Schizosaccharomyces pombe: one gene and its partner. The gene in region 1 interacts genetically with each later gene. Each region holds a gene or a part of one and is shown on either strand. Other genes may lie near its edges.

Region 1 (5,979 bases):
TATATCGGTCGATTTCGACTGAGAAGTCAAAAAAGCGACAAAGTCATGAATAAAGGCTATCCATTCGGATATAGAATTCCATCAGTTGGGCAATTACAACTAATACTTCGACAAACTAACGGTTTAGTCATTAAAGTTTTTTTGGTGCCTTATAATGTTTCAAGTATGGTTGATTGCTCTAAAACCTGGATTCGCCAGAAACATTATCTTCAGCAACTAGACGATAAAAGTGGGAAAATTTTAAGTCATTTAAAGTTTGGATTACAGTTACAAATTATTTGCACTTCTGCAGGACACCATTACCTTTATGACTCTCAAAGAATTATTTTTGTCCAGCAATCTTTAGGCGGGTTATATGGGAACACGAAGATTGTGAATGAAACACTGCTGTCAGAAAGTTGTCGATAGCTAGCCAACTTTTTACTGCTGACATGTAAAGATTTATTGACTTATATAACTCTTTTTTAATGAAAATTAACATTCATGCGTTCCAAGTTTATATTAAATTAATTTAATATTATACTCTTTGCTTATCTACGTCATTTAAAACCATCCAAAAATTGTTCATTAGTATTGCTCTGATAAATTTATTGTTGTAAATTGGAATTTCTAATGTGTGATAACATTAAGTATCAGAATAGATAATTGTATCCGACGAAGTCGGATCGTTAGGCATTAAGATCTTGAAGATATTCCCATCTAAAGTACAACCCATCAATCCCCAAACAATATTATGATTATCTTTATCCACCCGAATAACTGAATACTTTAAATGGTTAGTTAAGGCATTTGTTTTTGTTTGAGACACTGTAGTAAGAATTGGCTGGAGCATTTGTTCTCTGGTAGACGTGCAAACTTCACCCTCAACTTTGAAACAAGTTAATAACCGGTCTTTGTCACAAGAAAACAATAATTTTTTTTGTGAAATGTAAAAGCAATCAATGCCTAGTCTCGATGATGTGTCGCTGCAAACTAAATTAAGGGAGTTGTTTTCACTATCATACTGGAACACGGCAACAGAATCTCTTAAACTAGAAGTGTACACATAGTCCTTATACGTTGACATCGATACAATGGGAGACCGAACAGGTAACTCACAATCACTGTTGCAAAACTTCTTTGAGTCTAAGTCCAACATCTTTACACCAATCTTTCGTCCTGTTGCATAACACAATCCATGTTTTCCGATCGAACAAACGGAATAAATAGGGTCTTTCATATTAATTGTGATGACATTGCGAAGTTCTATAGCATTGCTGTCATGATCTTTATTCATGGTAAGAATTAACAAACGACCTGTAGTTAATCCGTTTTTTCGTACCCCTGTTCCTATACAAAGGTACCTATATTTTCTTTTTTGATCGTCGGCTACAATCCAAACTAAATAATCGTTAGGTGATTAAAGTAAAGCTAACTTACAAGACATAGAATATAATAATTCCTCCGGTTTGAATATTGGTTTACCTTTAATATCCATTGAAGGCCAATTGACAGGGAAAAGTCGCGAGCTGTGTAATTGTTAGTAGGCACTAGAAACACGTAACTCACTTAGTCAAGTCGTAAAAAGCAAGACCTGAGGTTGTAATTTCATTTACTAAAACGTGACAACATCCAATGATTAAAGTGTTCGTATATTTATCAACAAGTAATCTCTTGGGAGTTGCTGCAAGATTTAGTTTTGAAGAAAAGGTTCGCTGTGGAAGCCAAAGTTCCGATAGGTACAAAGTATTATTCGAATAATACACTATGATTCTTGATTCACTGTTCTGGAACTTATTTGGAATATCGTAAATACCAGAAACACAAGTAAAACTGTCATTTACTTCAAGTATCTGGTTCAGCGTAGGTTGTTCAGTTTCCATATCGATACCCACTATATACAAATAGTCAGACCATGCATAAATTGTTGAAAACTCATCGGAGGGTGACTGTAACGTGAGTGGTAAGTCTGTTGAAATAGGATTAGAGTAAACTTTAAAATCCGGTACTCCCTCTAACGTTAGAGTTACATAGACGGTTAAAAGAGTAGAGTTGGATGAAATCAATACATAAACAGCGCGGTTTGATTTTCTCAAATACGATATGCTATGAGGAAGGTATCCAAATTGAAAACCTGTTAAGGGGACTTTATAGACACTAGAGTGTGAGGTTTCATCATAGAAAACGCATTCAAAATAAGGTGAAGGATGAACCAGTATCACCAGTAGCTTTCTTTCCAAAGAAAAGGAAGTAATACAAGTAGGGACATCGTGTAGATCGAAGGAATCCGGAAGCGACTGAAGTTCAAGTGTACCATTAGAAAGAGTATTTAGTTTTAGTGTAAGCAATTGACTTTTGAAATTCATTAAATCTTTTTTAACGATGAAAATTAATTCGTTATAAGCAGCCAAAACAAATTCTTCATCTCCTGAAACCTCAAGAAGGTTATACTTTGTACAACTAGGAGTAACAGCATAAATGGATTTTCCCGTAATAATGATAAACGTATTTTGGTAATTTATAACATATAAAGCTTTTATATCATCCAAAAAAAGACTTTCGGTAACATCTTCGACGACCCCATCGAGATGAAGCCTTAAAATTTGTGTTTGCCAAGGATAAGTTAGCCAAGCGTAAAATTCAGAGTTGTGGTTAGAATTTATAATTCCTGATAAAACAGCTCCCTCAGTTAATATTGCTTCAAGCAAAGTAGTGGATGAGCACCCGTAACGCATTGTGACCAAACACCCAGATTTACCAATGCCAGCAGTAGCATAAACTGTATTACAATTGATGTCTTCATCCAACAAAGTGTTATGCCTTGATGAGGAATACACAAAATCCCACATTGGAGCGCAAGCAATTAAGCTACCAAAAAAGGACATAGGCGATACCGAAACATCATACACTAATGTATCAGAACAGTCACCACAAAAAACAATGTATGGATAACAAGGTAGTATCAAATTTCCTAAAGAAGATCCAGTCTTTCCAATTAAATTAATATCAATAGACAAAATAGAGTAACGAATGCGATACAAATCTCCATTTTCGTAGGTTAAATAGCAACAATTCGGAGTTTCGTTATCATTTGCAATAGACAATGGATAATTATGTGAACCGCTGCATGGAAGATCGGTCTGTAAAAATTTTAGATCCCCACATTCTATCTGTGGGACAGAAAGCAGACAAATCTTTGTCTCCAATAATACTAAAAAATGATCAGGAATATTGGAGCAAGGGATAATATGGGAAGCAAGAGAAAATTCGGATGGAACCGGTATTGAGAAGGTTATGTAAGAACTAGCATCAGAAAAGGTTTCCGTCTTAGACCACCTATAAACATTGATTCTAGGATTCGAATTTGAATCTAGAAAAAGACAAACATACGTAACACAAGACGAAGAGGATCTTTTTGGAGGTACAAATATGGTATGAAGTATTATTCCATCGATAGAAAGTTGAGCGAAGACTTGCTTGCTTAAGGAAGGATGATGTGAAAAGAAAAATACAATATCACCAGCAAAAGAATTAGTAGCCCACAAGGAAGCATTTGGGCATAAATCAATTGATTTTCCTAATTGTTCATGGTTGTACATTCGAGTATCAAGAACGAATTCATCTCTAATACGAATCGTCGGAAACGCTTTTTCTGGTGTTTTGACGAGCTGCAACAAGTAGCATTTTCCGTTTTCAGTAGCAATTAAAATATTCGCTATTGAATGTCTACCTGATTCTGACTGAAGGAAATGGCTTGATAACAAAGCAACAGACCTCGTTCTTGCAGGCAACGTGAATCTTTCAAAAAGTAGTAAATCACCAGATCGCTTTAAACTCACAGAAGCTACAGAGGAAAAAGATCCAAGTAAAAGGAGAGGAGCACCATCATATTCGGAAACATGAAAAGCCCAGGTGAATACGTTTGAATGATGAATAATTTCTGCCATGAATTCACAAAGTTAAACGCTTGGAACCAATTTAATTTGATTAGAGTCAAATTTTGATAGAATAGAAAAAGCTATTAGTTAATCGTATGCATCAAAGAAATTAGCAAATACGGAAAAAACATTAAAATCAATGAAAATAGATATGTACAGGTTTAAATATATATAACGCCCTTATTTAGAAGATAGATCCTTACGAGTTCCTCCAAATGTGAAAGGATTATTGACAACCAACCATGGCTTGTTCGAGTTAATATGTTGGGTTGTGTTGAATGTATGTAAGAATATCCATCGTTGGAATTTCGAGAACCTAAGGAACACAAAAATTAAGATAACAATTAATATGCGATATATGATTTTGATTTCTAGTTAACAAATATACGATTTGGTTTCATCTTTAGAGAAGTGTTGTCTGACCTACGACAGTTTGAATTTTCTACGGCCATTTAAAATCAATAGCTTAATGATGTCTTTTTTACCTACGTGAAAGAATTATCAACAGGGTGCTAATGTATACATTCAGAATCCAAAGAAAAAGGCTGTGAAAATGCAAGTAGGCACTTTTTGTTTTCCTAATTAAGAAATCGAAAACAAAAATTAGTACTTCCAAATAGATTTACATTGTTTTAATGTTGTCAATTGTCATTTTGAATGCTTAATTCAACAGATATAGACGGAAGTAAAATTTGAAGTATTAAAGAGTGCATAAAACTATTCCTCCTAAATATTTCGTAACATTGCTAAGTTATTGAATATATAGACCCATGCTTAAGTACGTGTCCTAGATGCGCTTAAGGTATTTAGTTACAATAATATATTTGCTTCATCTGATACTACCCTCAACCGCAATGTTTTTATCTTATTATATCGAAATTCATATTTTATTTCGCTAAAATTGTTTCTGATTTACTTTCCGCTTTCTCATTTCCGTGCAGTAAACTTGGATACGGTAATTATATATGGAGCTTAGTGTCTTATTGTTTAATAACGAGTCTTAGCTTTCAAATATTTTATTGGCTGCCGTTGCCGAATAGTGTTACCTGAGAAGGAATATCTTCCAATTACCTAGAGTTTCGAAATAACGTTGTTTTCGCTAGGCTATCTTGTGTTGCGCTACAGTAACACCACTTGCCAAACCTAAACAAATACTAGCCGACCGTACCATTCTCAGCTCGCCACTACCAACCTCTAAAGAACCATTTATACGGGGCAATTGAAATCGACTAACTCCAATTGTATAGTTAAATTGGAGTATTTTGGTTTGTATTTGCAACCAAAGGTTTTTAAACTAGTATCTCTTTCGGAGAAGCTTTTTTGCCTCTGCAAAAGTTCCTTTCTCGAATTGGTTTTTTGAGGAAAAGCAAGTTAATAAACTAATTATATTATATATAATTAGCAATTTTATAAAAAAAATAAAAAAATAGCCCTGATTGCTGGCAACTGTGAGCTGAACATTGGTTAATCGGTCCATCTTTTTTTAAATATTTTACATCGCTACTTTTAAGTGCTTGACACTTGCATTTAATAGCTACTTTCTTTCCTTCATAAAAATTCCTTTTTTTTCCTTTAGTTTTCCGGTTAATTCCTTACGAAATTTTTTTCGTACGCTTCCCTTTTTTACTCTGATAATTCTTTGAAGCAATGTCTGCTCTTTCGACCTTAAAAAAGCGCCTTGCTGCGTGTAACCGAGCATCCCAATACAAGTTGGAAACAAGCTTAAACCCTATGCCTACATTTCGTTTGCTACGCAATACGAAATGGTCATGGACACATTTGCAATATGTGTTTCTAGCAGGTAATTTGATTTTTGCTTGTATTGTCATTGAATCTCCTGGATTCTGGGGGAAATTTGGCATTGCCTGTCTTTTGGCCATTGCGTTGACCGTTCCTTTAACACGCCAAATTTTTTTTCCTGCCATTGTTATCATCACCTGGGCAATTTTATTTTACTCTTGTAGGTTTATTCCAGAACGCTGGCGTCCACCCATATGGGTTCGTGTTTTACCCACACTTGAAAATATTCTTTATGGCTCTAATCTTTCTAGTCTTCTCTCGA
Region 2 (4,000 bases), 1.6 Mb from region 1:
ATGCCATCTGCTGAACCCAAAAAACATGTTAAATTGAATTCGTCCATATCATCCATTCGTTTCACACAACATGAATTTGAAGCGGAATCCGAGAAAATCATTCATCATTCTCTTAAAGGAGATATAGAATATCTCCCAAGCTTCAAATTTTTACTAGAAATTAAGGTCCGAACAATCGATTATGCTCTTTTATTTATTACTTATAAAATCCCGCATTTTGCTAGAAAAGAGCTCAGTAGTTTTTCGGACTCTGCAATACAATGTCTCGATATAGTAGCTCTTTTGAGAGCGTTCTCATTATTTGCCCACCATTACTCATATCGCTGCAATACGTGGTTTTATTTATCAAAGCATATGAAAAAAGTGGCATCAGCAAACATGGACGCTCAATGTTTCTATGTTCAAAATTCCTTTTACAAAATTACAATACTTTATGAGATAAAATTTGATGATCTTGGTTTTGTACAACCTAATTACTGCATCTCTTATATACTAAAGAATCAAAATGAAAAAATTGTAAGCATCACATCAAAGTTGCTTAATCAATTAGACAAACGTTTTTCGGAATTTGTATCGCTTTTCGGATTCAGAGAAGGTTCACTACTATTATTACAGGCATTATTTAAACCTCATTTGGGGTAAGAAGGATAAATTGATATTTTTAACATGGTTTATTGAAGCTAAATGTTAAAGCGGAGAAGGGGTTGCATATTCAACTTCTTGTTTAATTTCCACCTTGGGTATTTCAATACTATTGAGCACTTGGTGCAACTGAAAAGAAGTGTTATCTTTCTTAGAACTATCATTGCTTTTCGTGTTCAAGCCAATAGCTTTCGTAATTTTAGTGGAAGAAGTAATCTTTGTTTGTTCGGAAGATTTTTGTTTTGAAGTTCTTTTGGCAGAATGGGACTTGAGTTTCCAACTTGGAGCATCTAATAAAGGCTTCAGACGTCTAATAGCAATTTGAAGGTCTCCTTGTACAACCAGGTCGCATAAGTTCAAAAAATCTTTCGTAGGTTCGTCATAATTCAACCAAATAACATTTCCCTTCTGTTTATGCACACAGTTGCTCATTTCCTTGATAATTCTTTTGACACCAGGGATTTTACAAGAAGTACCAGCAACAATTAGACAGTCAGGGCGGGACTTTAAATCTTGTGAACAGACCGAACCAATAGATTCGGAATCCGGATGTATCTCATTGTACAAAACAATCCGAGGACGAAGGCAACCCTCGATAACTGATCTTTTTCCTGCTATACGACGAACCTCGTTCTCGGTTTTACAGTCAGGGCAAACAGTAACACCATTTCTATCAAATATATCTGGATTAAATTTTTTCAAAAAGCTGCACCTTGTGCAACTTACAACTTCCAGTGTCCCGTGAAGAGGAATCGTGGTAGGCCAAGGGGCAGACTGCGGCAATGGAATACATGTTTGAAGGCCCTCGAGTCTGGTTTCTAAAAAATCAATATTTTGTGTGTATAAACGTAACAGCTTAGATTCTTGGGCTAGTTGAGATAAAAATAAATGGAAATCAGTGGGGCGTGCATTATTAGAAAGCATATGTAGCTTTCTAATCATTGCGTGAAAGATGTTAACACTCTTAAGATCTCTGTAAACAGATCCATCAAACAATTCCTTCCCGGAGCAGTTCAATTTATACTCCGCACGAAGGGAGGAGAAAAGACCCTCAGAGGAACGGAAATCAGGAATTCCAGCATCACAAGAAATTCCAGCACCTGTTTAAACGTATTAGTAAATGAGCCTTTGTACGATTATAATATTTAATTTTTTTTTTAATCCCACTTTTTTTTTAAGTGAAAAGTTAAAATAAAAGAAGGAAAACCATAAATAAGCAACATACCAGTAACAACGACTATGCGCTTTGCCTTGCGAATGGCAGAAACTAAAGGAGATAAATCGACATTTTCATTGCCTGTATGAAGTCTAAGTGGAAGCTTGGAAAGTAATTGCTGCCTTTTCGAAGCATTTTCAGAAGATTGGCATTTTCTCTTCCTCGACTCCTGTATTAGAGGGACGTGCTCCTCCACTTTCATACTAAGCTACGTAAATTTGGAATTTTTTAAATCCAAAAAGTTGAGTGCATTAATTAAAATATATTAAAATCATTGAACTCTTCGACTTCTTCCTAAAATGGAATGGTTGAGGAATTAAGTTGTGATTGACGGTTAGGCGGTTGTGTCTACGTACGTTTCGAAAGGCCGTTGAAGGACAATTATATCGCTTGAAAGACTCAATTTCGCCATGTCTTTGTATAACAGTAATCGCAATTTTTTTCTCTATTCACTTTTAAAAATGCCGTTGAACCAATGTTTATTTAGAGTACTGATTTTTTTGTTTTTACCCATTTAATAAAATGTTCAGACTAGAAAATCAGCTTTCATGCTGACATTAATAAAAAGAATAAAATTAAGTCTTCAATAATCCTTCTGAGATTTCTCCTTCTATCAATATATAAATTGTCTAAATAGTCAAATGAAATAAATAAATATATACAGAAACTGGTAATAAAAATATTAAAACAAAAAGGGATTGCAAAAATTTAAAAAAACAATTGAAGTTCCATTTTCTTAAATATTGGGAAAACTTTCAAGAGTTTTAAGTACAGTATTTTTCCTTGACATTTAATTGAAAAAGTTGGAAGGTGAAGTCTTTCATAAAATTCTCAAAAAAATAACAAAACCAATAAATATATCTTTGAATCTTTGGTAAAATATCCATGCAGTTAAAAAAATTTAGTAAAACCAATCGGTCAAATTTTTAATTAGTTTATTTCTTTCAGAAACTATTGTTTTCTCTGTCTCGATTCCCCTCTCAATTGTAATTAAAGAAGTAAATAAATACATTATGTTTTCATGAACAATTGAAACAAAGAAGCATACGTTTATGTGAAAAGTTTCGACGTTTTTGTGTAAACTATTTAACGTTATGGGATAGTAAACAATAAAATATATAGAAATTTTTTGAAATTAATGATCTTTAAATTTAATAAAAGCATGCGAACTGAAGCATTTTATGAAATACGAATTTGCCTTCACGTTTTGCACAGTTAATTTGAAAATGAAATAAAATCTGCAGACTTGCTCGGAAATACGAACCGGAAATGAAAATTGTAAGCTAACTTAATTTCCATGGAGTGAATGAGAATAGCTCGTACATTTTATGGCAAAGGATTTTTTTGTTTGTAAAGGTCTTGCATTTTCGCAAAAATTGAGAGTGGAAATTGCATGAGTAAAAATAGTGAATCCTTCTCAAAAGGTAAATTTTATTAATAAAAAGGGACTCTGGAGAAGTAATTTGATACCAAAATCACCTGCATTGCCTGGCATTTCATTTATAGTGTTGCATATTTTTGCACTATTAATTTCTGCCAACAACATAGTAATTTCAATTAATAGCCTTATAGGCATACTGCTTATTCCTATTAATCCTTTGTTGCTTCACTGTTAATATCCAGATATATATTTAAAAAAAAGCATTTTAAGCTTTTAAAAGAGAGTCTGCAAAGGAGCGCCTACTTTGTGGACGTTCTCAACATTTAACATTATATAAATTTTCTGGAGTAACAAGAATGGAGCCTGAACATTCGAATTATGATTTAAAAAATCATCCTACGAGCGTTCAAGAGTCTACTTTAAATGGCTCTGCAGTAACTGATCCTCAGTTTGGAAATACAACAAATTCTCTACCTAGCATGAATGGCCTGTTAAATCATGAAAATTCTTTCGCTTCGCAGCAATCTTTATCGTCTTCTGCCTTTGATGATTCTGAAATCGTAACCAGCACTGCTAATAGCACAGTTGTATCTTCTGCTTTGTCTACCCCTAAAATTGACGATGCGCAAAACTCTGACGATGTTAGAGTAGATGGTACAAGACGTTCTTCAAGGGCTAAACGACCCGTTTATCGTGATTTCTCTTATACTGAAATTGACGAGCATGAAATTCCGATTCCTAAAAAACGAAAGAGCAAACCT

Evidence for each region. A genetic interaction does not mean that the proteins touch.
Region 2: of mms1 (region 1) and hst4, a mutation in one rescues a mutant of the other (synthetic rescue), as found in Schizosaccharomyces pombe (one study listed by BioGRID).

The regions. Positions count from the first base shown.
Region 1 is NC_003424.3:593,352-599,330, forward strand, and holds mms1 (E3 ubiquitin ligase complex subunit Mms1), read right to left. Parts: upstream 4,176-5,979; 5' UTR 3,927-4,175; coding exon 1,549-3,926; exon of another isoform or gene 1,509-1,548; coding exon 1,420-1,508; exon of another isoform or gene 1,381-1,419; coding exon 626-1,380; 3' UTR 550-625; downstream 1-549. Other genes in the region: SPOM_SPAC3H8.04 (chromosome segregation protein), read left to right, coding at 1-408; inositol phosphorylceramide synthase Aur1, read left to right, coding at 5,565-5,979.
Region 2 is NC_003424.3:2,191,422-2,195,421, forward strand, and holds hst4 (histone deacetylase, Sirtuin family, NAD-dependent Hst4), read right to left. Parts: upstream 2,195-4,000; 5' UTR 2,061-2,194; coding exon 1,868-2,060; exon of another isoform or gene 1,743-1,867; coding exon 688-1,742; 3' UTR 643-687; downstream 1-642. Other genes in the region: CENP-P family protein Fta2, read left to right, coding at 1-642; CENP-A chaperone, CHD family Hrp1, read left to right, coding at 3,596-4,000. UniProt on the Schizosaccharomyces pombe protein: NAD-dependent histone deacetylase, which contributes to both telomeric and centromeric silencing, proper cell cycle progression, DNA damage control, recombination, and genomic maintenance.